Linked DNA regions of Canis lupus familiaris. The protein of the gene in region 1 interacts with the protein of each later gene in a biochemical or structural test. Links are inferred from orthologs where the notes say so. Each region holds a gene or a part of one and is shown in the gene's direction. Other genes may lie near its edges. The genes, in order: BTK, SH3BP5, IBTK and GTF2I.

Region 1 (5,652 bases):
TGATCTCATGGGTGGTGAGATCAAGCCCCATGTGGGGCTCCACGCTCAGCAGGGAGTTGGCTTGGGATTCTCTCTCCCTCTCCTTCTGCCCCTCCGCCCACAGTGCTTGAGTACTCTTTCTCTCTCTCTAAAATAAATAAATAAATCTCTTTTTTATAAGTGTTTTGAAAGATTTTATTAAATAAATAAATCTTTACAAAATTTATACTGAGAAGAAAAGCAAGTTGCTGAAGAATATGTACCCTGTAAAACATGCAAACCAATACTAAATACCTTTCATGGATACTTACATATGCAGTAACAATATAAAAACATGCCTAGGAATGATTAACACGAAATTCAAGATATAGTTAACTTCTGAGGAAGGAGGGGATTGATTGCAGAGGAGTATACAAGGAAGTTTTGACTCTATGGTTAGTATTTTATTTCTGAAAAATGCCGGAAGCAATTATGGCACTATGTTAGAATTTTATAGAGCTAAGTGGTGAGTACCTGAGTGTAGTGTTAGTCTCTGTACTATTTGCCACACTTCATAATATAAAACAAAGTACATTTGATCAAAAATTTACATTCACACTATGCAATAACAACCCTAGGGACAGAGTTGGCAGGTGTTCCACATAAATCTCATATTTTTATCGAATCAACAATGAAAAAAAGTCCTGAAAAGAAAACAGCAAGTAACACCAGTTAGGATCTCTTTCCGAAAGACTGAAAGGAAAATGTAAGAAAATCTGGTAGGGATAAGAAGAGTCCACATATGGGAAAAAGTACAGTTGACAGTTAACAGGGATAAATCACCCTTTTTCGCTTGGAGGATTATTGCAGAGGAAAATGCTCCAGGATCCTGTACTCTCTCTTATCCCCTGAATTTACCATCATTTCCTCTTTTGTCAAATGTTCCTAGAAGATGCAGAGGATTCTGTCTCTACTGCTCTTTGATGGTAGCCATGGGGGATGACAGGTGGTGAGATGGATAGCATCAAAACTTATTGAAAGCAAAAAAAAAAAAAAATCTCTCTAGGAGGCAATGAGGTAGGTATCACAGAAACAGCAAGGGCTGTGGAGTTATGGATGAGGTTGGGCAGATCACACAACTTCCATGAATCTCACTTTCCTCACCTCTTTGTTGTAAGAAATAAATGAAATACTGAGTATAAAATGCTTGATGGGTAGACTGCACTGAGAAAAACAAGAATTTCCTTCCATTCCCCTCAGAAGAAAAGGGAATAGACAGACTTTTTTGGTACTTAAGTAATGCTTTAAATGAGAAATAGAGAATGATGTTTCTTGGATATTCTGGCTAAGTAGCTATTTGAACTATGACTGACTGGTTATTTCTAAATAGCATTTCCTGGACTCTTCCCAATCATAGGCAGGCTGTGTAGTCTTCTGAATTTTGCTCTGGTGTTTATCTTACCTTGAGCAGTGATAGGACCAAAGGTGATTTAGTTTACCAATCCTACAGGTGTTTTTCGTATCAATTCCTTGGCATAGCGCAGTTTTTAAGATGGCTGAACTCTTATTAACAAGCATCCTCTTTATGAATTCTGCTGCTCCATAGGAAGCTGGGAGGCTGCAAAAGGTGGCCACATGAAAATTCTTGCATTTGTAGTTTAAAAAGAGAACATTATAATGCTGGAATTCTGTATCTTTAAAAAGATTTTATTCATTTATTCATGAGAGACACACAGAGAGGCAGAGACATAGGCAGAAGGAGAAGCAGGCTCCCTATGGGGACCCTGATGTGGGACTTGATCCCAGGACCCTGGGATCACGACCTGAGCCAAAGGCAGATGCTCAACCACTGAGCCACCCACGTGCCCCTGGAATTCTGTATTTTAAATGAAGAACCTGTGTCTTTCTATTATTTTTCCTCCTCTTTCTTTATGTGAACATCAGTGTGTGAATGTGTGTGTGTGTTAACATTCATGTCACTTCCGGTTTCCACCCCCACCCCCACCCTCTGAGTGAAGTGGGGGGTCAGCCACATGGTGCATCTTTTGTGGTCAAATTAACTGTCAGCTGCTGAAATAGTTAGAAGAAAATTTAGAAGCTACCATAAAGAAGTTGCAACTGCCCTCTAATGCAGTGTCCATCACACACCAACCTTCAGGAAAAATGCACCTCCTTTCACATTATTGGTGGATGAATCAGTGATGACTAAGGAAGAACGACCACATTTTCAGGCTGTGTGTGTCTGGACTGGTTCACAAGGAATAAGGGGAAAGCAGTCAAAGAAGGGGCAACCAGACCTTGGAAATCCTGGGAATTCTTCAACTCCATGATCTAGTGGTAGAGGCCATTTCACCCTTTTGCTGAGAGGGGTGATGGCTAGTGAGAGGCTTACTTACTTCCTCATACTTAGACCAGCACTAAACCATAACCCAACAGACACTTGAAAGAGAGGAAGGCTTCCTCTTGTACAAACTGGATTTGTTCTAAAAGAGAAAAAGAAAGAAAAAAAAAAGAAAAAAGAAAATAAAAATAAAAGAGAAAAAGAGCAGAGGCAGTTTCCAGAAGGACCTATCTTATAGGAAGTAAGAGCAGAGGCCAAGACTGAAGCGGATGCTGGGTCAGAGCAGGGAATGCATCCATCAAGAGCTTGCAACAAAACTAAAGGTAAAATCATGGGTATGCTTTACTCAGCTAAAAGAAGCAAAACTGGATGTAGTTTGTTAGGATGCTTCTGATCCAATTTACTGGACATGCTACTTATTTTCATTAAGGCTTTATTTTATCTTGTGCAAGTTGAGTCTTTCTGATTGTGAAGAGCTATTTAATTGGAATTCACAGTGAAAAAAATGTGATCTCATTACAAGTATCTTGATGAGTTGACTGTTCTTGAGAATATAATATTACTTGGTTACCACTATTTCTGAATAAATGAATAATTTTAATGTTGACAGAAATCTCTGTGGGGTTTGAGCATTAGAAAGTACTCTGGTTGTAAAGTCTTATCAGTTTGTCACTCCTGTAGAGACCATTTAAACCAGGTAGTCAGGGAACCTGTGTGACCAGGTGTGGGGAAAAAGTTTGCTCCTTGTCTAATTTTTCTCAAAAGATCATTTATAAACCATTGAATTAATCCACCACCAGAAGACAGTAGCATCGACATGGTGAATAAGTGGCAAAGTGATTATTTTGAACATCCCTGGTGTTCCTTTAACCTATTTTTAATGTCTCCCCAGTATGATAATAGAACCTTCTACACCACAGGAAAGAGCAAAATAACGGTGCGGATAGCCTCAGACTTTGATAAAAACTGCTCCCTTGTTTCCTTGGTGTGAGCAATAATCTGTGTTTGGCAGGTAGAAAAAAAATGCTGACATTATTTATTCTGCATAGACAGATAAAGGATAAGGAGTTTAGTTATAAAAAATGTCATCCCTCCTTAAGAAAAAAACCCCACGCAGCCGGGGTGGCTCAGCTGTTTAGCGCCGCCTTCAGCCCAGGGCGCGATCCTGGAGACGGGATCAGGATCGAATCCCACATCCGGCTCCCTGCATGGAGCCTGCTTCTCCCCCTGCCTGTGTCTCTGCCTCTCTCTCTCTCTCTCTCTCTTTCTCTCTGTCTTTCATGAATAAATGAGTAAAATCTTTAAAAAAGAAAAGAACCCCACTTATAACAAAATTTGAGGGAAGCTGGTGATCTGTTTCAGTACTTATTTTGTACTGATTAAGTGCCCCATTTTGTGATAGTATTTATATTTTCACTTAATCTTTCTAAGGAAGGTTTGGAATTATGCATAGACTTTAAATGAATATGCAATTGTGTGTAAACAGTAAGTGAATAACTAATATGAAGCATGTTTTGTATGAATGAAAAAAACCAATGGTGATTTCTTTTGTAACTTTCTTTGCATTTTTGCACTTCAGCTACCTAAACTGAATCTTTCCTAGAGTATTCTAAGTTTGGAGAGAGTAAACAAATTACTTTTCGTAAATAACCAGAGATGGCACCCATAAGAGTAGACAGTTGCATCACTTTGGTAAGACAGTGTCTAAAAGAACCAATCTAAGAAAAGGAGGGGGAGGGCAGCCCGGGTGGCTCAGCGGTTTAGCGCCGCCTTCAGCCCAGGGTGTGATCCTAGAGACCGGGGATCGAGTCCCAGGTCGGGCTCCCTGCATGGAGCCTGCTTCTCTCTCTCCCTCTGCCTGTGTCTCTTGTTCTCTCTGTGTGTCTCTCATGAATAAATAAATAAAGTCTTTAAAAATATAAAAAGGAGGGGGAAACACAAACCAAAACACGCACACACAAAAAAACTAAAACACACACACACACACACAAACCAAAGACAAAACAAAAGGAACTCCCTCCCCCAAAATTATTTTTCAATTTTAGAACAAAGCTTCTACCCTTTGTAGCTGAGCTAGTGGTTGATGGGCAAAATCAGTTGGGCAGCAGTTAGTATATGTCCATACCTGCAGGTGCAGCCTCCATATCCTTATTATATGCCTTGTTTACAGACCCCAGTGGGACAATGTTTGAAAAAATTGCATTCACTGTCTAGGAAACTGGGAACTGAAAGTCCAATATCTGCCTCAGTGAAGTTTTGGCACCTGCATTATCCCTTCTGGGGATATCAGTGTCAACAGCTGCACAGAGACTGTTGCTGTTCACAGATTCTGCACGTATCACAAAAGGGTGGTTAGTATAAAGTGGCCTCTAGACATTACTAAGCACACAGGTACATGTCATTTGACATTCAGAGCATTCCATTGCCTTATACAAAAACCCAGTGTATGTGAGCTCATGCCGAATCTGTCCTTCCAATTCACCATTACACCTGAAAACTGACAGAGACGGAAGCTATGGAAGGAGGATGTCAAGGCAGGAAGAAGGCTCTTTATTAGCTTTGCATGATTCTGTTCCATTTGAAACTAGGTGGTCAGGTTGAGAGGGAACCAGGAGGGATAAGGAATAATGTGCTGGGTCCTCAAGAACTTTCATTATCAACAGCACACAAGTGAGCTCCAGAAAGAAGAAGCTATGGCTGCAGTGATACTGGAGAGCATCTTTCTGAAGCGATCTCAACAGAAAAAGAAAACATCACCTTTAAACTTCAAGAAGCGCCTCTTTCTCTTAACTATGCACAAACTTTCCTACTATGAGTATGACTTTGAACGTGGGGTAAGTTTTTCTGCTGTGAAACCTGAATATCAAGGACTTAGCCTTAGATCTTCCTTGAGGACTAGATATTTTTGGTTGGAGGAGGGAGGTGGTAGGGATCGAGGTATATTTCAAACTCAGAAAAATGTTTCTTAGCCTAGAACTAACTACAGCCATGTTGGCACAAAAAATTCAAAGGTGCTAAGAAGCCATGGGGGCAATCTTACCATGGAATCTTGCAACTGATCATTCATTAAGTGCTGTTGAGAATGAAATCCACGTCTTGAAAATTATTCTTCATTTTTTATGGTAAAGGCACACACAGTCATCCACTCTTCTATAGTATTTGCCCTCTGATAGTCAAAAAAGTTTAGATTAATAGATCTGGAAGTTTTGTTGTATTTTTTTTTTCAAAATGACAGGTTCTGATGAATAGAACGTGGGTGTCACCTCACTATGTTGAATGATTAGATAACAAAATCTAATCATCTGGTTGCTTAATCATTCCTAATCTTTCTCCATTTTGTTCCTCATTCTCTT
Region 2 (5,410 bases), on another chromosome or scaffold:
GTGATTTATTTTCCTTATTTTAACTTCAGAACACTATTGGGATTGACGCTGTAACTGGCCCAGGTCTCCTAAAAATACAACAACAAAAAAAGCCTGAACCACTGTTCTAGGGCAGTTTCCCTATGTCCATGGTGGCCTTTGGAACCATTCTCTTGCTCTTTGATCTAAGCTGAAATGGAAGTGTATCTGGGAAGTTGTTGTTTAGCACGGTGAGGGCGGGGTTCCAGCAACCGAGAAGCATAGGAGAGTCCGGACTGACCTCACTTTTCTTGTTTACAACCTCTGTCTCTCAGTTTATTCACAGCTAGGATAAAACCTGCCCCGGTACCGGCTCCGTTCTGCGCCACTGGGGAAACTGGTGGAAAAGCAAAAGCAACTCGGTGTTTTGCAAAACCTTTCAGGACATCTCTGAGAACTGTTGGCTCTCCCTTGATTTTAGAACAACGACCAGGTGTGACTGTTTCAGAACCAAACCGAATGTGTACGCCTGTATTACCTCCAGGAGACAGAACAAATCTCTTTTCACAGTGGACCTCGGTGCCAGCATGTGCAGGATGGTACCTTGCCCAAGGAATAATACCACCCCCCTCCCCTTCTCTGCTCTGCAATGTAGCTTCTGATGAAGCCATTAGAAGGTTTCCCAAAGGTGGCTTTATTTTTTTTTTAACTTATAAAGATTTTATTTATTCATGAAACAGAGAGAGAGGGGCAGAGACATAGGCAGAAGGAGAAGCAGGCTCCCGCTGGGGAGCCCAATGTGGGACTTGATCTCAGGATCCCAGGATCGTGCCCTGAGCAGAGGGGCAGAGGCTCAACCACTGAGCCACCGGTGTTCCCCAGGTGGCTTTAAAGATAGGCTCTCAGCCTCTGTCTCAAGCAAGTTTGCTCTTCAAACTCCCAGAGCTAATGGGCCACAAGCCTCTATGTAAAGGGTGCACACATTCTGCATTTTTGTAGTGGAGATATTAGCAGTGGCCAGGGGCAACGTCCTTGCCTGCTTTGCTAAGGTCAACTGAATTTGTGCTCCCTTGACATCACAGTGGCCCTGACAGTTCATAAAAGCACACACCTGCCATTCCTTCTTTGGGCCCATGCTGTTGAGCGTGCCAGGCAAGCGCTGGCTCCCTATTCTTTCAGGAAGGCAGGAAAATCTCGCCGTTCATAAATGTTTGGACAGAGCCTGCCCATGACACAGGGGTTACACCTGCTGCCGCCTGGAGAAGGCTGGACCTACCCAGCCCGACATCCCTGACGACCGATGCATTTTCCACGCTTCTTGGCTATTCAGGTAGGACCACCCCACGACCAGGAGGGCACAGGCTTTGGGCATGGCTTGACTGAGGAATCCAGGCACGAAGCTGCGCCCAGCTCCCCTCCTCGTGCTTCTGTGGCGTGTGAGCACATGTTTCAGTTCCCGTTCTGGGGGAAACTCTTCCAAGTAGGCTCCAATTCCCGAGGTTCAGCCAAGGGGGTGACCGTGCTGTGGAGGCACACAGGGATTTGAGGGAGCCTTGAAGCTGGTGCAGGGTCACCGAATACAGGCTTCCCAAGGGGACTTCAGACCGTGGAAGATACCCCAAACTTTGCTCCGAGCAGTCGATTTGCTCCGGCCGAGCAGGGAGGGAGAGAGGTGCCCCCAAAGCAGGCGGCCAGTGCGGGCAGCCCCGGCCACAGCGCCCAGCGCGCCGAGGGGTGCGGGGGCCGCGGGATTTGTGACGGCGCCGGGGCGGCCCGGGTGGGAGCCGGGGGCGGGGGCGGCCGCGGCGGGGCGGGGCGGGCGGGGCGGGGGCGGGGGCGGCGCTGCGCTGCGGGCCGCGGCAGGAAGGGGGCGGCCGCGCGCTCTCGCTCGGCTCCGCCTGGGCCCGCGGGCTCCGCGTCGGCAGCGGCGCTCCGGACCGCGCGGGGCTGGGGCGAGGCGGCTCCGGCCGAGCCTGCGGCTGCCCGCCCCCCCCCCCCCCCCCGGCGCTCCGGGGTCCTCCGCGCGGTTCGCCTCCCCGCTGCCCGCATGGACGCGGCGCTGAAGCGGAGCCGCTCCGAGGAGCCGGCGGACCTCCCGCCGCCGTCGGCCCGGGACTTGGAGGAGGAGGAGGAGGAGGAGGGGATGGAGCCGGCGCTGGAGGAGGAGGAAGAGGTGGACCCCCGCATCCAGGTGGGGCGCGCGGGGGGCGCCGCGCACCTCAGACCCCGCCTGCGCTCCGGGCCCGAGGACCCGGTTTTGCGGGGCTTGTGGGAGGCTGCGGCGCCCGCGTGGATGCGGCCGGACTGTGCCGCGGGGGCTCCCGCAGACCCCGCAGACCCCGCAGGGTGGGGGTCGCCGCGGCCGGCCCGGCGGCTCGGGCCGATGTGCAACAAAGGGAAAAGGGGGGCGGGGGCGGGGCGGGGCGCCGTGCGGGGGTCGGGGTCCCCCGCCGGGCAGGCGGCGCGGAGGGGGCGGGGGCGGGGGCGGGCGTCGTCCCCCCGCCGCGGGCCGCCCCGAGCCCCGGCCGCGAGCCCTCACCTGGCGGCGCCCGAGCCGCCCCCTCCGCCGGCTCATTGTCGCCGCGGGCTCGGACCTCCGCTTGGCCTCCAGGGCTGAGAGCCCCGCTCGTGGTCGTTAGGAGGTCGGGGTGTGAGCAGAAGCCGGGGACGGGGGATGCGCAGGGCTCCCGCGGGGAGGAGGCGGGGGGGGGGGGGCCTGGCTTTCTGTGCCTCCATTTCTGAGGGAGAGGATTAAAAAACAATTTCTGAGCCAAGATGTAAGAGTGACAGCTTCACCTCCTCACCCTCCAGGCGAAGAGCACAGCACATCCCTTTCCAAGACCCGTTTTTCTACCCTTTCCATAAATCATTTAGTATAAACCTATATATACACTAAATGCAATATATATATATTGCTAGTATATACGTATATACTATATGCAATATATATATTGCACATATATCGATATATTGCAACATATATAGCAATATGTATGTATAGTCAATATATATCAATATGTATATATTGCAATATATATATATATAGCAATATATATATTGCTTTTAATCGTGCTCTGCGATTTCTGGAGCCCTAATGGGTTTTTCAGCGCGCGGATCAATTAAAAGCCCATTTAACTCAGCTGTTGCCATTTAAATGAATTGTTTTGGCAGATTAGCAAGATAAAGATCAGGTGGGGAAAAAAAAAATCTTTGCATGAGGAATTCTACTAATTAAAATCACTAGTTTAGGCTACTGAATCTTGTTTTCCCGGTAGGGGAATTCTGTTTGGGAGATCCTTTGTTTGCAGAGTAAAAGGAGTTAACTTCTTCGCTGGGTACTTTTTTTTTTTTTTTTTTTTTTTTTTTTTTTTTACAAAAATGTCAGTTTATAAATGTTTATCTGAAGGATCGGGATGAAAGCTAGTTTTTGTTTCGTTAAAAACAGCGAGGCAGGTTTAAAGATTGCCGGTTTGCAAGGAAAAGATTTTCAGTTCTAGAAAAATACTCAACCACTAATGAGTTAATGCCAGAATTCTGCCCTTGATTTAAATCATTTCCCTGAGTTTATAGTTTCGGCTTGCCTTTTGTTTATTTCATCGTCTTTTCTGCAAAGTTCTTTCTGTGAGGCAGGAGGTACTGTTTGGATTCCTAAACCATTTGTAACAGGTGGGTTTACCTGAAGGCACATACCTGGAAAACAGTTGACCTTCTAAGAAAAAAATCCCTAGGACCTTCAGACATTTTTGAAAGAAAAAGGCCTCAGAAATAACTGACATTCATTTGTTCTTCAAGCCAGGGCTCCACTGTTTTCCTTGAGAATTAATACTGACTCATCCCCCTTCCTCCAAATTGTGCTAGAGTACTTTTGCGGAGAATGAGCTCAGTCACACTGGAAACAAAAGACAATTCCTTTACATCTTTCTTCCCTCTCTCTCTTCACTAGGGAGAACTGGAGAAGTTAAACCAATCCACGGATGACATCAACAGACGGGAGACGGAACTCGAGGTACAGAAGGCTGGGTCCTTGTTTCTGGTGAGGTGGTGTCAGTCCTGCTGACACCAGCCTGCTTGATCTTGTTTTAATAGCTGGAGGATGATTGCTGGCGTCCCCTCCGCAGAGTTGAGCAACCGCCCGCCCGACAGAATAAAATGCACTGCTGAGCCCAGCGTGTGGGTGGAACACATGTGGATCCTATTTCACATGGTTTTCATCATGGGAGCTCCGTGGGGCCAAACCCAAGGGCTGTGTGGGGCACTGAAGTTCATGTGTCTGTGGAAAAGCATGAAAGGATTGAGGGGAGAATTACCTGCACTCTACAATGGATAAGAAAGAATGAGTTGACAAAGTCTTTCTGATATTTCAGGGTGATTCCTTACATTTGTACCTGGAAACATTATGTATTTCCTTAGACTTCTACTTTTTTTTTTTTTTTTGACTTTTTGTCCTAAAAATCTCACCCCTCTTCCACTTCCCTGCTCATTTCCTTGTTGTCTGTTTGCGTGTAGAATATAATGATCTTCATGGTAGCAAAAAGCTGTCTGGACTGCAAGGGCTTTCCTGCTGGGAAGAATCTTGGGGGATACTAGAACTTGATTTGAATTTCATGAGCATCTTCCAACGTGAGTGTAAACAGATGAGCAGTCTTCACAGCTACCCGTCAGCCCCCACTCTGCTGTAGTAGTGGTTGGTTTTACCATCCATCAGCAAATTTGAACAAACCCCGCATGGATCTGAGAGCCTGTGAATGAATCTATCAGAGAATTGAAGGGATGCAGGGAGCTGTTGGAGGGCCTGTTTCTGTTGCAGGAGAAATAGTAGGGAAGGTCACTGAAAAGGGCAGGAAACATCTGGTCCCTAAGAATGAGGGTGTGGGAGATAGGAATAATCTACCGGGAATACACTGGCAGCCTTGATTTCTGACTACATGGCTAGGCCCTGGAGGCACCAGATCTGGGCATTGCAAAAAAGGGGATTAAAAGTCTGTTTTCTGAGTTGTGTGTGAAGGATGATCACTGACGCCTCTGTTCTGATTGTATGTATCCATGAACACTGAGGCTGCCCTTCTCCCCCTGGTAAAGTAAAATATACATGTTTGTTTTAGATTTTATTTATTAGCATAAGCAAGGGAGGAGAGGGAGAAGCAGGTTCCCGCCTGAGCAGAGACCCCGACTCAGGGTTCAATCCCAGGCCCCTGGGATCCGTGACTTGAGCCAAAGGCAGATGGGTAACTGACTGAGCCACCCAGGTGCCCCAAATCTGCATGTTTATTTAATTTTTTTTTTTGACTTCTGATGAATCAAGTCTCTTTGGGCAATTGAAATCTCTCAGAATCTCACATTTCTAATATATTAAACAACAGAAACTACCATTTCTAGAGAACTTTAGAGTTTGCAGAGGTTTTTTTACAATTTTTTTTTTTTTTTAAGATTTTATTTATTCATGAGAGCCAGA
Region 3 (4,901 bases), on another chromosome or scaffold:
ACTTGTTTTTATGTATTTATCTTTTTTTTTTTTTTTAAGTTTTTATCTATTTATGAGAGAGACAGAGACAGAGATGCAGGCAGAGGGAAAAGCAGGCCCCATGCAGGAAGCCTGATGTCTGGAATCACGCCCTGAGCCAAAAGCAGATGCTCAACCACTGAGCCACCCAGGCATCCCTGTATTTATCTTTGTGATTAGTTTTTTTAATGCTTGTCTCCTATCAGGCTATAAGATGGCAAGGACCTTGACTATTGCACTGGGTCCTTGGCATTCAGCATATTTCCTGATACATAGTAGTCCCTCATTAAGATCTGTTGAATGAATATGCTAAGACACATATAAGGAATGTTTATAATTAATTCAGAAAATTATAAACATAGTTTTCAAAATCAAAGACACAGTGGAGTGATTAGAGGTTTGTTGTATTTCTTTTATTTCTTTATAGATTATGTAAGTCTGTAAACATTTAAATTAGATTTACTGTGTGTCACATATAGAGCTATGCTTTATTGATAACATATATGTTGATAACAGGGCCCCTGTTCTCAGACACTCATAAGTTTGTAGGGACAATAGATACATGTTAATATTTACAGTTTACAAATGCTAATATGCATATGTTAGGTTTTTTGAGAGTAGAAATTGCAATAACTGAGTGTGTGGGAAAAATTAGCAAAGGCCTGTAAGACTGAAATAGAGTGAATTTGAGAGAGTAACCAAAATGCAGGTTTGACTGCATATAAATGTTGGAAGTCTTAGAATTGTATCTTAGTCACATTTAGTAATCTGAATTCATGATCTCATGCTTCCACATTTGCTTTTTAATGTTTTATATCTAAGTAAATGGTTGTCTTTGACACCTCACATCCCGCCACCCCTATATCCGATCAGTCACTAAATTTTGTCACTTTTGTCTCAAATATTTCTGAAATCTTTCCACTTTTCTCCACTTTTATTGCTACAACTTCAATGTATATTATTTATTCTTTGGATTCTTTCTTATTAGTTTCCTAAATGATCTCTGTCTTTATTTTTAATTACTTTCAGTATTCTTCCTACTGAAGAATAATTTCTTTGCATGCACATTTCATACTTTTCTTTCATAGCCTTAATTTGACTCGTAATGGATATAATCATTTGTTTTAATGTCTGTCTTCTCTGCTAGATTGTGCACTCCAGAATGGCAGGGACATGCCTATCTTGTTCACTACTGTATCATTAGGGACAGATTGATGATCACTGCATCACAGTAGCACAGTATGGTCACTCAGATATTTGGGACCAAATAACAAACTATAGGGATCCTAAGTTTATATATTTTTAATGCAAGCTGAGGAGTTTTAGAAGGTGGTGTAACACTAGATTTGCTTCTTAGAAAGTTAACTTTGGTGCAATGTGGAGGATGTTTTTGTTGAAAGGGACAAAATCATGGGTAATTGAGAATTGACCAAACAAAATTTCCTTTATAGTACCTATACTATACATAGGGTGCAAATTGTGTTGGGGGGCGGGGGAATATAATTCTTCAAAAGGACTTATATATGAAAGATACTTTCATATTTTATTTTTCTATTTTCTTTTCTCCTAAAGCATTTTAATAGTTTCAATAAAGCCTCCATTAATAGAAGTTTGTTTATTTTTCTTTTTAGCAGAGATTTTATCAAATCTTCATAATTCCTCATCAGATGTGTCTTGTGTCTCTGATATAAATAGTGTATACGAAAGAATTCGACTTGAGAAACTTACTTTTGCCCATAGAGCTGTTAGTGTCAGCACAGATCCAAGTGGATGCAACTTTGCAATCCTGCAGTCAGATCCTAAAACAAGGTACACTTGTATATATTAAATTTCATTTTTAGAAGGAATAATCACTGAGTTTTCCTTTTTTTTTTTTTTTTTTTTTTTTTCAGTAGCTCCTGGAGGAAATTTAATTGAAATGCTTTTGCCAAGACTTGTAGAAGCTTTAGACATAAAATCATGTTATCTGGAAAACTCAGAGGTGGAATTTGTTATAGTGGGAATGATAAGTATTTCTTTTAGTTTGTAAACTGGTATTTATTGAAAATCTTGAAAATACATATGTGCATGCACAAAATTTATAACTACTTTTTGATGTACTCTGGGTTCTCAAATTCTGAGAAATATAAATATTACACAGTTTGCAAAAATCTCTAATACTTGAATATGATAATTAACAAAAGAAGAGGTGGTATAGTCATCTGTAGGGTAGTGTGAATCTCAGTGCAAATATTCTCTAAGTTACATTAGTAGAGAGATGACAGGTTAAGATAAATGTCCAGGGTACTGTTGGAAAGAAGTCCTGGAAGTAGGGTGAACTTCCATTCTGGTTTGCCTAGGCCTGCCTGTCCCATATTTAGCACCAAAACTCTCATCTCCTGGGAAAGCACTCAATCCAGGGCAAACCAGGAGGATTGTTTCCCCTACCTGAAAGGGTGAAATGTGGATAGGGAAGGTGTGATAACATTTTTACAGCGCTAAAGAACCAGAGTTATGGACTGATTGTATATCTGTGTGTATATTTATTTTTCCTCCCTGAATTTCTGGCCTATTCTGGGATTTGACCTGAAGTATTTGCTCAGTTCTTTGTATATTTGGTTTTCTTCACTTAAAAGGATAAAGGATAAAAGAAAAGGATATCAAAGAAAAGGTTGAGAACTGTACTCTTTTCTGGATATTTTTAGTTTTATAGTCATTTGTGTTTAGTTATAGTCATTTAAAAAATTTCTATGGAAATACTCATTTACATTCTAGCATTTCCTAGTAGAAATAGAAAACTCTGCTTTTGAAGGAAAACTTGAATCTTGTCAGTTTAGTAAAAAAATATAAAAAGGAGTCACATTTTAAAATGTGATACAGTATCTAAGACTTTGCAGTATTCTTATATTTTCAGAAATGCCAGATTTAAAATTTTAGAAGTTTAATAGCTAAAAAATAAATTGTACTTTAAAAGGAGAATTGGCTAGGGATGGGATGCTTTTTTTTTCATTTTCTTGAAAGTAAAAATTATTTTTGTTTCATTTCTAGCCTTTATGAAATTCCAGCCGTATCCTCATCATCCTTTTTTGAAGAGTTTGGCAAACTCTTAAGGGAAACAGATGAAACGGACAGTATTCATGATGTGACATTTCAAGTTGGCAATAGAATTTTCCCTGCACATAAATATATTTTGGCAGTGCGTTCTGACTTTTTTCAGAAATTGTTTCTTTCAGATGGGACTACTTTAGATTTTATAGATGTTTACCGGAAAGATGAAGATTCTGCAGGATGCCATCTCTTTGTCATAGAGAAGGTTCATCCTGACTTGTTTGAGTACCTTTTACAATTTATATACACAGATACTTGTGACTTTTTAATTCATGGCTTCACACCAAGAATAAACTTAAACAAAAAGCCAGAAGAATATCAGGGCACTATGAATTCACATTCAAATAAAATGCATTGCCATGAAGATAATCAGAAGTCAGCATTTGAAGTTTACAGAAGTAATCAAGCACACACAGTTAATGAAAAGCAAAAAAGCAAATCAAAGGCTTCCAATAAAGGGAAAAGTATTGGGGAAGATGATCCTGTAAGAATGTTGCAAAATGTTGCAAAGAAATTTGGTTTCAGTAATTTGAGTAGTAGGTATGGCTTCTTAATATCTGTCCTTGAACCTTATTATGAGCTCCTTTTAAAAATTCTTTTTCTTTGCTACTCGTCTTTTCCCGTCCCTCAGTTCTACCCCCATGTGCCTTTTTGTATGTGTTCTTTCTTCATTTTCTGCTAAAGCTATCTCTGTAGGACCCCCTGGATTAAAACTTTGGAGGCTGTTAGTGGGTGTGAACTCTATGTTGTTTGTGTAACAGGGATCTGGAATGGTAGGCGGTGTGGTATGCTGGAAAAAATACTATCTCTGGAGTTAGGCCTGTATTTATTTGCCTTTTGGCTCTACTAGTGACTAGCTGAGGCAGATTTGTTAGTTTCTTTGAACTTCAGTTTCTCAGTATTTAGAAGGGAGGGATAATAGTGGTTCAATTTGTTGGTATAGTTCTGTCCTACAGTATGTGTAAACTGCCTAAGAGAGATTTGTCATATAAACCATATTCTTTGGAATTCTTTTTTTTAAGATATGTATGTTGCTTGTGATAGTGTAATCTTATGTGTGGGGTAGGAGCAGAGAAGGAGCATTTATCAGGTTTCCTATTTAAAAACACTGAAGGGTTTTGTGCTATGGTTTTGGTATGTTTTTTGTCAGTAACCATATTTAATATGCATTTGACCCTTGAAAAACATGGGTTTGAACTGTGCAGATCCACTTGTATTCAGATTTTTTATGATAAATTCAGTATGGTACCATTAAACCATATTGGACATTTTCCTTAGGATTGTCTTAACAATTTCTTTTCTCTAGCTTTCTCTATTGTAAGAATACAATATATAATGCAAATAATGTACAAACTACAAACATACAAGTCTACTGTATAAGTTATTGGGAAGGCTTCCAGTCAACATTGAGGTACTAGTAGTTAAGTTTTGGGGTAGTCAAAATTATATGCAGATTTCAACTCAGGTAGGGGGCATGGTGACTTTAATTTCTGCATTGTTCAAGGATTAACTGTACTTTGAATTCTAAGTAAAACTGAAGGAGAATAAACGATACTTCTTTATCACAGAGTTGAGTTTATTGAGATACTTTTTTAGGTGATATAAATTATATAATTATGTCCAGATGTAAATTGTTGGATTTTTGCTGTTGTTTTGGTCCATCAACTTAATTTTTATCTATTTTTGATAGGTTAGATGGAGTCAGATTTGAAAATGGAAAAATTAATGTTATTGAGAAGAAAACTGGTAATAAATCAAAGCTAAATCAGAAAAAATGGTAAGTTAGGAAATGAAGA
Region 4 (4,901 bases), on another chromosome or scaffold:
CCATCCCATTGGGTGTTCCATTTCTTTTTTTTTGGTGAATTACATTACATCATGTGAATGTACCACATTTTGTTTATCCATTTATCATGTAGACATTGGGGACATTTCTGATTTGGGGGTATTATGAACAATGCTTCTATGAACATTTGTATGGACATAAGTTTTTAATCTTTATTTTTTGAGGGTTTATTAAGTACAAATAAATGTATTAACTGGGATGGTCCCGTGTAATTGCTAATACTTTTCTTGCTTTGCAGTAGTTTCAGCAAGGGAAACAAGATAGGAATGCCCTTTATATTGGGTAATAAACCCATTTATTATACTAGTTTAGAAACCCAGTGTTTCTAATTCAAAAGGAAAGGGCTTAAGATCAGTGATGGCTTGGTGAAAAACGGTTTTGACCTGACTTGAGATGAACAGAGAATAGGTTTATATTACGTTCCCCATGCTGTAGAGGCCCTTGTCCCATGATAGCTTTTTGTTGCTTAACAAGGCTATAAATGGACTCTAAACGTAAGTAATAGTCATTGAAATACCACTAAACAGTTGTTAGTATTTTAAGGTGATGTATGGAGTAAAAGCTGTGTCCATATCCAGGAACTTTTTGACCATTTAATGAAGAGGGGAGGTATTTTGTTTGCACTATACTAATACTGTTTTTAAATTATATGTCATGCTTGTATGGAATTGTTTTACTTTTAAAAAGTAAATTTTTTACATATGATTTATACATGGTAGAATGTACTCATTGTGATTGTATGGTTTAGGTTTTGAGAAATGTTTGTGCCACCACTTCACTCAATTTTTTGAACATTTCCATCACTCTGACTTGCTCCCTGGTGCCCTCAGTAGCCAGTCCCTCCCAGTCGGGCCCACAGGCAACCACTGGTCTGCTTTTTGTCACTATGGAATGCTTCTGCTTCTTCTGAAACTTCATATAAATGGAGTCCTACTGTATCTATTCTTTTTACGGCTGGCTTCTTTTTCTCAATGCTTTTTGATTTACACTTGGGGCATATTTCACTATCCCCTTTTTATTGCTGAGTATTCCACCATGATGTGGATTCACCACATTTTGTTTATACATTTGTCAGCGGACATTTGGTTTTGTTTCCAGCCTTGTCTAAAAACGACACTGTGAACATGTGTGTACAAAGTGCGGCATATGTTCTCCTCCTCTTGAGATATTTAGGAGCAGAATCATGGAGCTGTTAATGTTCTGCAAAAGTACTGAACAGTTTTCCGAGGTGGTTTTGCCATTTTACACTCCTGCCAGGCATGTATGTGTTCCAGCTTCCACTCGTCCTCTCGGGATTCGGCATTGTCATTGTTTTAAATTAAGCTTTTCCAGAGGGTGTGTGGTGGTATTTCATTTAACTATCAACCTGAATGTTGCTTCATTAATGAAGAATGATAAGAACTAGATAGTTCAATCAACTCCATTTGGTCTGTTGCTCCCAGACTCCTTTCTCTCTTGCTCTGTTACTGTCAAAGGCTTGGTTTACGAGCATTGACACAAGCAGAGTTGTGAGCTGGGTGCCTTAGTGGCCTCTTGCAGGGCTGTGGTGATGGGAGGGACTGATGGCCTCTCCATGGTTGTACCTGCCAGCTGGCACAGGCTGCTAGAACCAGCTAGCCCACATACACTTTGCTTTCATTGCTATACCATCTTAAGGAAGCTAGCATTTTTATTCAGGAGTTTTTAAATAATTAAAGAGTAGAATGTTGGGTCTGGACATTTTATTGTATTTATTTTATTTTTTAAAGACCTTATGGGGATCCCTGGGTGGCGCAGCAGTTTGGCGCCTGCCTTTGGCCCAAGGCATGATCCTGGAGACCCGGGATCGAATCCCACGTCGGGCTGCCGGTGCATGGAGCCTGCTTCTCCCTCTGCCTATGTCTCTGCCTCTCTCTCTCTCTCTCTCTCTCTCTCTCTGTGACTATAATAAATAAATAAAATTTTTTTAAAAAGACCTTATGTATTTGTTTTAGAGAGAGAAAGAGAGCATATATGCGAATGGGGGCAGGTGCAGAGAGAGGAAGACAAGCAGACCCTGTGCTGAATGGGAGCCAGAAACGGGGCTCAGTCTCACATTCCTGAGATCATGACCTGAGCTGAAAATCAGGAGTTGGACACTTAACCAACTGAGCCACGCAGACATCCCTTGACATTTAATGGAGGATGACAGATACATTTCATATTGAATCCTCCATTCCCACCAACACCTCTAATACTGGTGAGGATCCTAAGGCCATATCCAGGCTAAGTTCAGAAGATGGGGATGGCCACACACATACTGAGGTTTTCCCTTGCTGACATTCAAGGTCTTGTCCACAAGTACATCAGAGACTATAGTGTGTAGTGTGTAGTGTATAGTGGTGAAGACCAAGGAACCAGACTCCGATGGCTGGTATCTCAGCCCCAGCACCTACTGTGTGGTCACCAGCAAGTTACGTAGTCCCCAGGACTCAGTGTCTCCATGGGTACATTGGATGTGGTAATGTTACCTGTGAAAACTAAATTAGTGAACACACAACATGCTTGGGGCAGTGACCATATGCACCTTTCACTGTTGGTAGTGTTGTTGCAAACATTGGAGATAAGAATAGGAAGTAGGTAACTCAGTAGGAAAATAGTTTAGGTGAAAGCTCAGTGTTTTTTTTTTTTTTTAATTGTATTTATTTGAGAGAAAGTACGGGTGTACTTGGTGGAAGAGGGACAGAAGGAGAGAGAATCTCCAGCAGACTCCCTGCTGAGTGCAGGTCTCCATCCCAGGACTCTGAGATCATGACCTGAGCCGAAATCAAGAGTCAGACGCTTAACCTGCTGAGCCCAGAAAAGCCCAGAAAGCCCAGAGTCCATACGTATATTCTACAAACTAGGAAATCGGAGTTTGAAGATGTATCTTTAGAATGTTGGTTATTTTCTAAAGAAAATCTGAGGAAACTTAATTTTTAAAAAATTTTCCCATTATTTTGACTATTTTGTTTTTAAATATTGCTGGTTGGCTACAGATTAAAATAAACTATTTAATAATTAGGTGACCCTACATAAAGAAGAATCAGGGTCAGGGATTTATCAGAATCACCTAAACAGTCCTCTTCATTCAATGGAAAAACAACTGGTTTCCTAGAACACTGTTTCTAAATTATACTAAGAATTCAAAGGAAAGAGGCACCTGGGTAGGTCAGTGGGTTAAGCTTCTGAGTTTGGCTCAGGTCATGATCTCAGGGTCCTGGGATCAAGCCCCCCTTTCAGGCTTCCTGCTCAGTGAGAAATCTGCTTCTCCCTCTCTCTCTGCCCCTCCCCATCTGTTAAATAAATAAGCATCTAAGCATCTTTTTTTTTTTTCCCCTCAAAGGAAGGATGTGTCCAGAGTCAGCTAGAGAATCTAAAGGAAGATTTCTTAGTAGAGATAGGATAACCGTACCTGACATTGTGATTATGATCAAGGGTTGAAAGGAAAACACATAAGCAGACATAGCTACCCCAAAATTAGATGGCTCCAAAAGGGCTCGAACGAAGCATTCAGTGAGTCGAAAATACCTCAGATCTTCTGGAAAGCTAATTCTGTCTGGATAAAAATGGCTGAATATAAGGATGAAAGTAGAAGAATGGGTGGATGTGGCCTGGGGCCTGCGTGTCCATTTGCATTGCTCAGTGCCTGTGTCCTGTTTGAACTTGATTTGGTTTTTAAGGGGAATCACAAGCAGTACTTAAACATGATGAAATATGTGTATTGATTGATTTTTTTTCTTTTAATTTTTCTTTAGGCCCTAATAACAACAACCCTCAAACCTCCGCGGTTCGAACCCCTACCCAGACTAATGGTTCTAATGTTCCCTTCAAGCCTCGAGGGAGAGAATTTTCCTTTGGTACATATAAATTTTATTTTTCTTAATTTCATCCATTTGAAATAAAAGGAACCAATACAAACATGTTATTTTTCTAGGTGAATTTTTTTTTTATCTGGTAAGTCAGTATATATGAGCTATTAAAGGCACTATAATAGCTACTTAACCCCTCTGTGCCTCAGTCTCTGGATGTGTAAAATGGGGATATTACTTCTGCCTCATGGGGTTATTAATGAGAATTCTAAGTACTAAGTTATTTAAAGGGTAGAACCATACCTGGCGCATAGTAGATGCTATCATTGTTTTGGTGGGAGGTTTCTTGGTTTTCATTTATTTTTAATTTTAGCCTATGTCATTTATTTGTGGCCAATGTATTAGTAATATGATAAAACAGTTTAATAATGTCGGATTAGAGTAGTTGCCAAGATATGACTATGCTAAAAACCTGTGTATTTTTTTTTTTGTGCTTGTTAAAAATGTACAATAAAATAAGAATGCTGAGCATAGATGTATTTTGCTAAGTATTGCTAGTAATGGTCTCATTTTTCACTTGCAGAAGCCTGGAATGCCAAAATCACAGACCTAAAACAGAAAGTTGAAAATCTTTTCAATGAAAAATGCGGTAAGCTTATTTTGAAATGTTAGTGCTAAAATATATGGTGGCCTTTTTTCAGTAGAAGAATGTGCACAGAATAAAATGTTTAGCATTTAAATTTTACGGTCATTGGAAGTGCATGCATTTTGCAAGCGTGAATGCCATCATTTCTCCCACTTTTCTGAGCCTGCAAAATGAACAAATTTTTCTAAGATTGAAAGTAGTATGATCTTTAAATATATATATATATATATATATAATTTTAGTAGCTACAAAATGTAATTTAAAATGCATTTTTAAAAAAAGTTTGAGTTTTGAAAAGTGATGAATGTGAGAAATAAAAGAAACTCTGTGTTTTACAGGCGAAGCTCTTGGCCTTAAGCAAGCTGTAAAAGTGCCGTTTGCATTATTTGAATCTTTCCCAGAAGACTTCTATGTGGAGGGCCTGCCT

The links.
Region 2: the proteins of BTK (region 1) and SH3BP5 form a complex in vitro, tested with the Homo sapiens proteins (2 studies listed by BioGRID, with this or other methods). The link is inferred for Canis lupus familiaris from reciprocal best matches to the Homo sapiens genes BTK and SH3BP5.
Region 3: the proteins of BTK (region 1) and IBTK form a complex in vitro, tested with the Homo sapiens proteins (2 studies listed by BioGRID). The link is inferred for Canis lupus familiaris from reciprocal best matches to the Homo sapiens genes BTK and IBTK.
Region 4: the proteins of BTK (region 1) and GTF2I form a complex in vitro, tested with the Homo sapiens proteins (4 studies listed by BioGRID and IntAct, with this or other methods). The link is inferred for Canis lupus familiaris from reciprocal best matches to the Homo sapiens genes BTK and GTF2I.

The regions. Positions count from the first base shown.
Region 1 is NC_049260.1:75,700,134-75,705,785, reverse strand, and holds the start of BTK (tyrosine-protein kinase BTK), read left to right. Parts: upstream 1-2,104; 5' UTR 2,105-2,568; coding exon 2,569-2,622; intron 2,623-4,962; coding exon 4,963-5,133; intron 5,134-5,652. UniProt on the Homo sapiens protein: Non-receptor tyrosine kinase indispensable for B lymphocyte development, differentiation and signaling. Binding of antigen to the B-cell antigen receptor (BCR) triggers signaling that ultimately leads to B-cell activation.
Region 2 is NC_049244.1:27,769,866-27,775,275, forward strand, and holds the start of SH3BP5 (SH3 domain-binding protein 5), read left to right. Parts: upstream 1-1,990; 5' UTR 1,991-2,005; coding exon 2,006-2,149; intron 2,150-3,901; coding exon 3,902-3,964; intron 3,965-5,410. UniProt on the Homo sapiens protein: Functions as a guanine nucleotide exchange factor (GEF) with specificity for RAB11A and RAB25. Inhibits the auto- and transphosphorylation activity of BTK. Plays a negative regulatory role in BTK-related cytoplasmic signaling in B-cells.
Region 3 is NC_049233.1:42,943,570-42,948,470, reverse strand, and holds part of IBTK (inhibitor of Bruton tyrosine kinase), read left to right. Parts: intron 1-1,649; coding exon 1,650-1,827; intron 1,828-3,045; coding exon 3,046-3,645; intron 3,646-4,795; coding exon 4,796-4,882; intron 4,883-4,901. UniProt on the Homo sapiens protein: Acts as an inhibitor of BTK tyrosine kinase activity, thereby playing a role in B-cell development. Down-regulates BTK kinase activity, leading to interference with BTK-mediated calcium mobilization and NF-kappa-B-driven transcription.
Region 4 is NC_049227.1:5,653,958-5,658,858, reverse strand, and holds part of GTF2I (general transcription factor II-I), read left to right. Parts: intron 1-3,774; coding exon 3,775-3,876; intron 3,877-4,411; coding exon 4,412-4,477; intron 4,478-4,812; coding exon 4,813-4,901. UniProt on the Homo sapiens protein: Interacts with the basal transcription machinery by coordinating the formation of a multiprotein complex at the C-FOS promoter, and linking specific signal responsive activator complexes.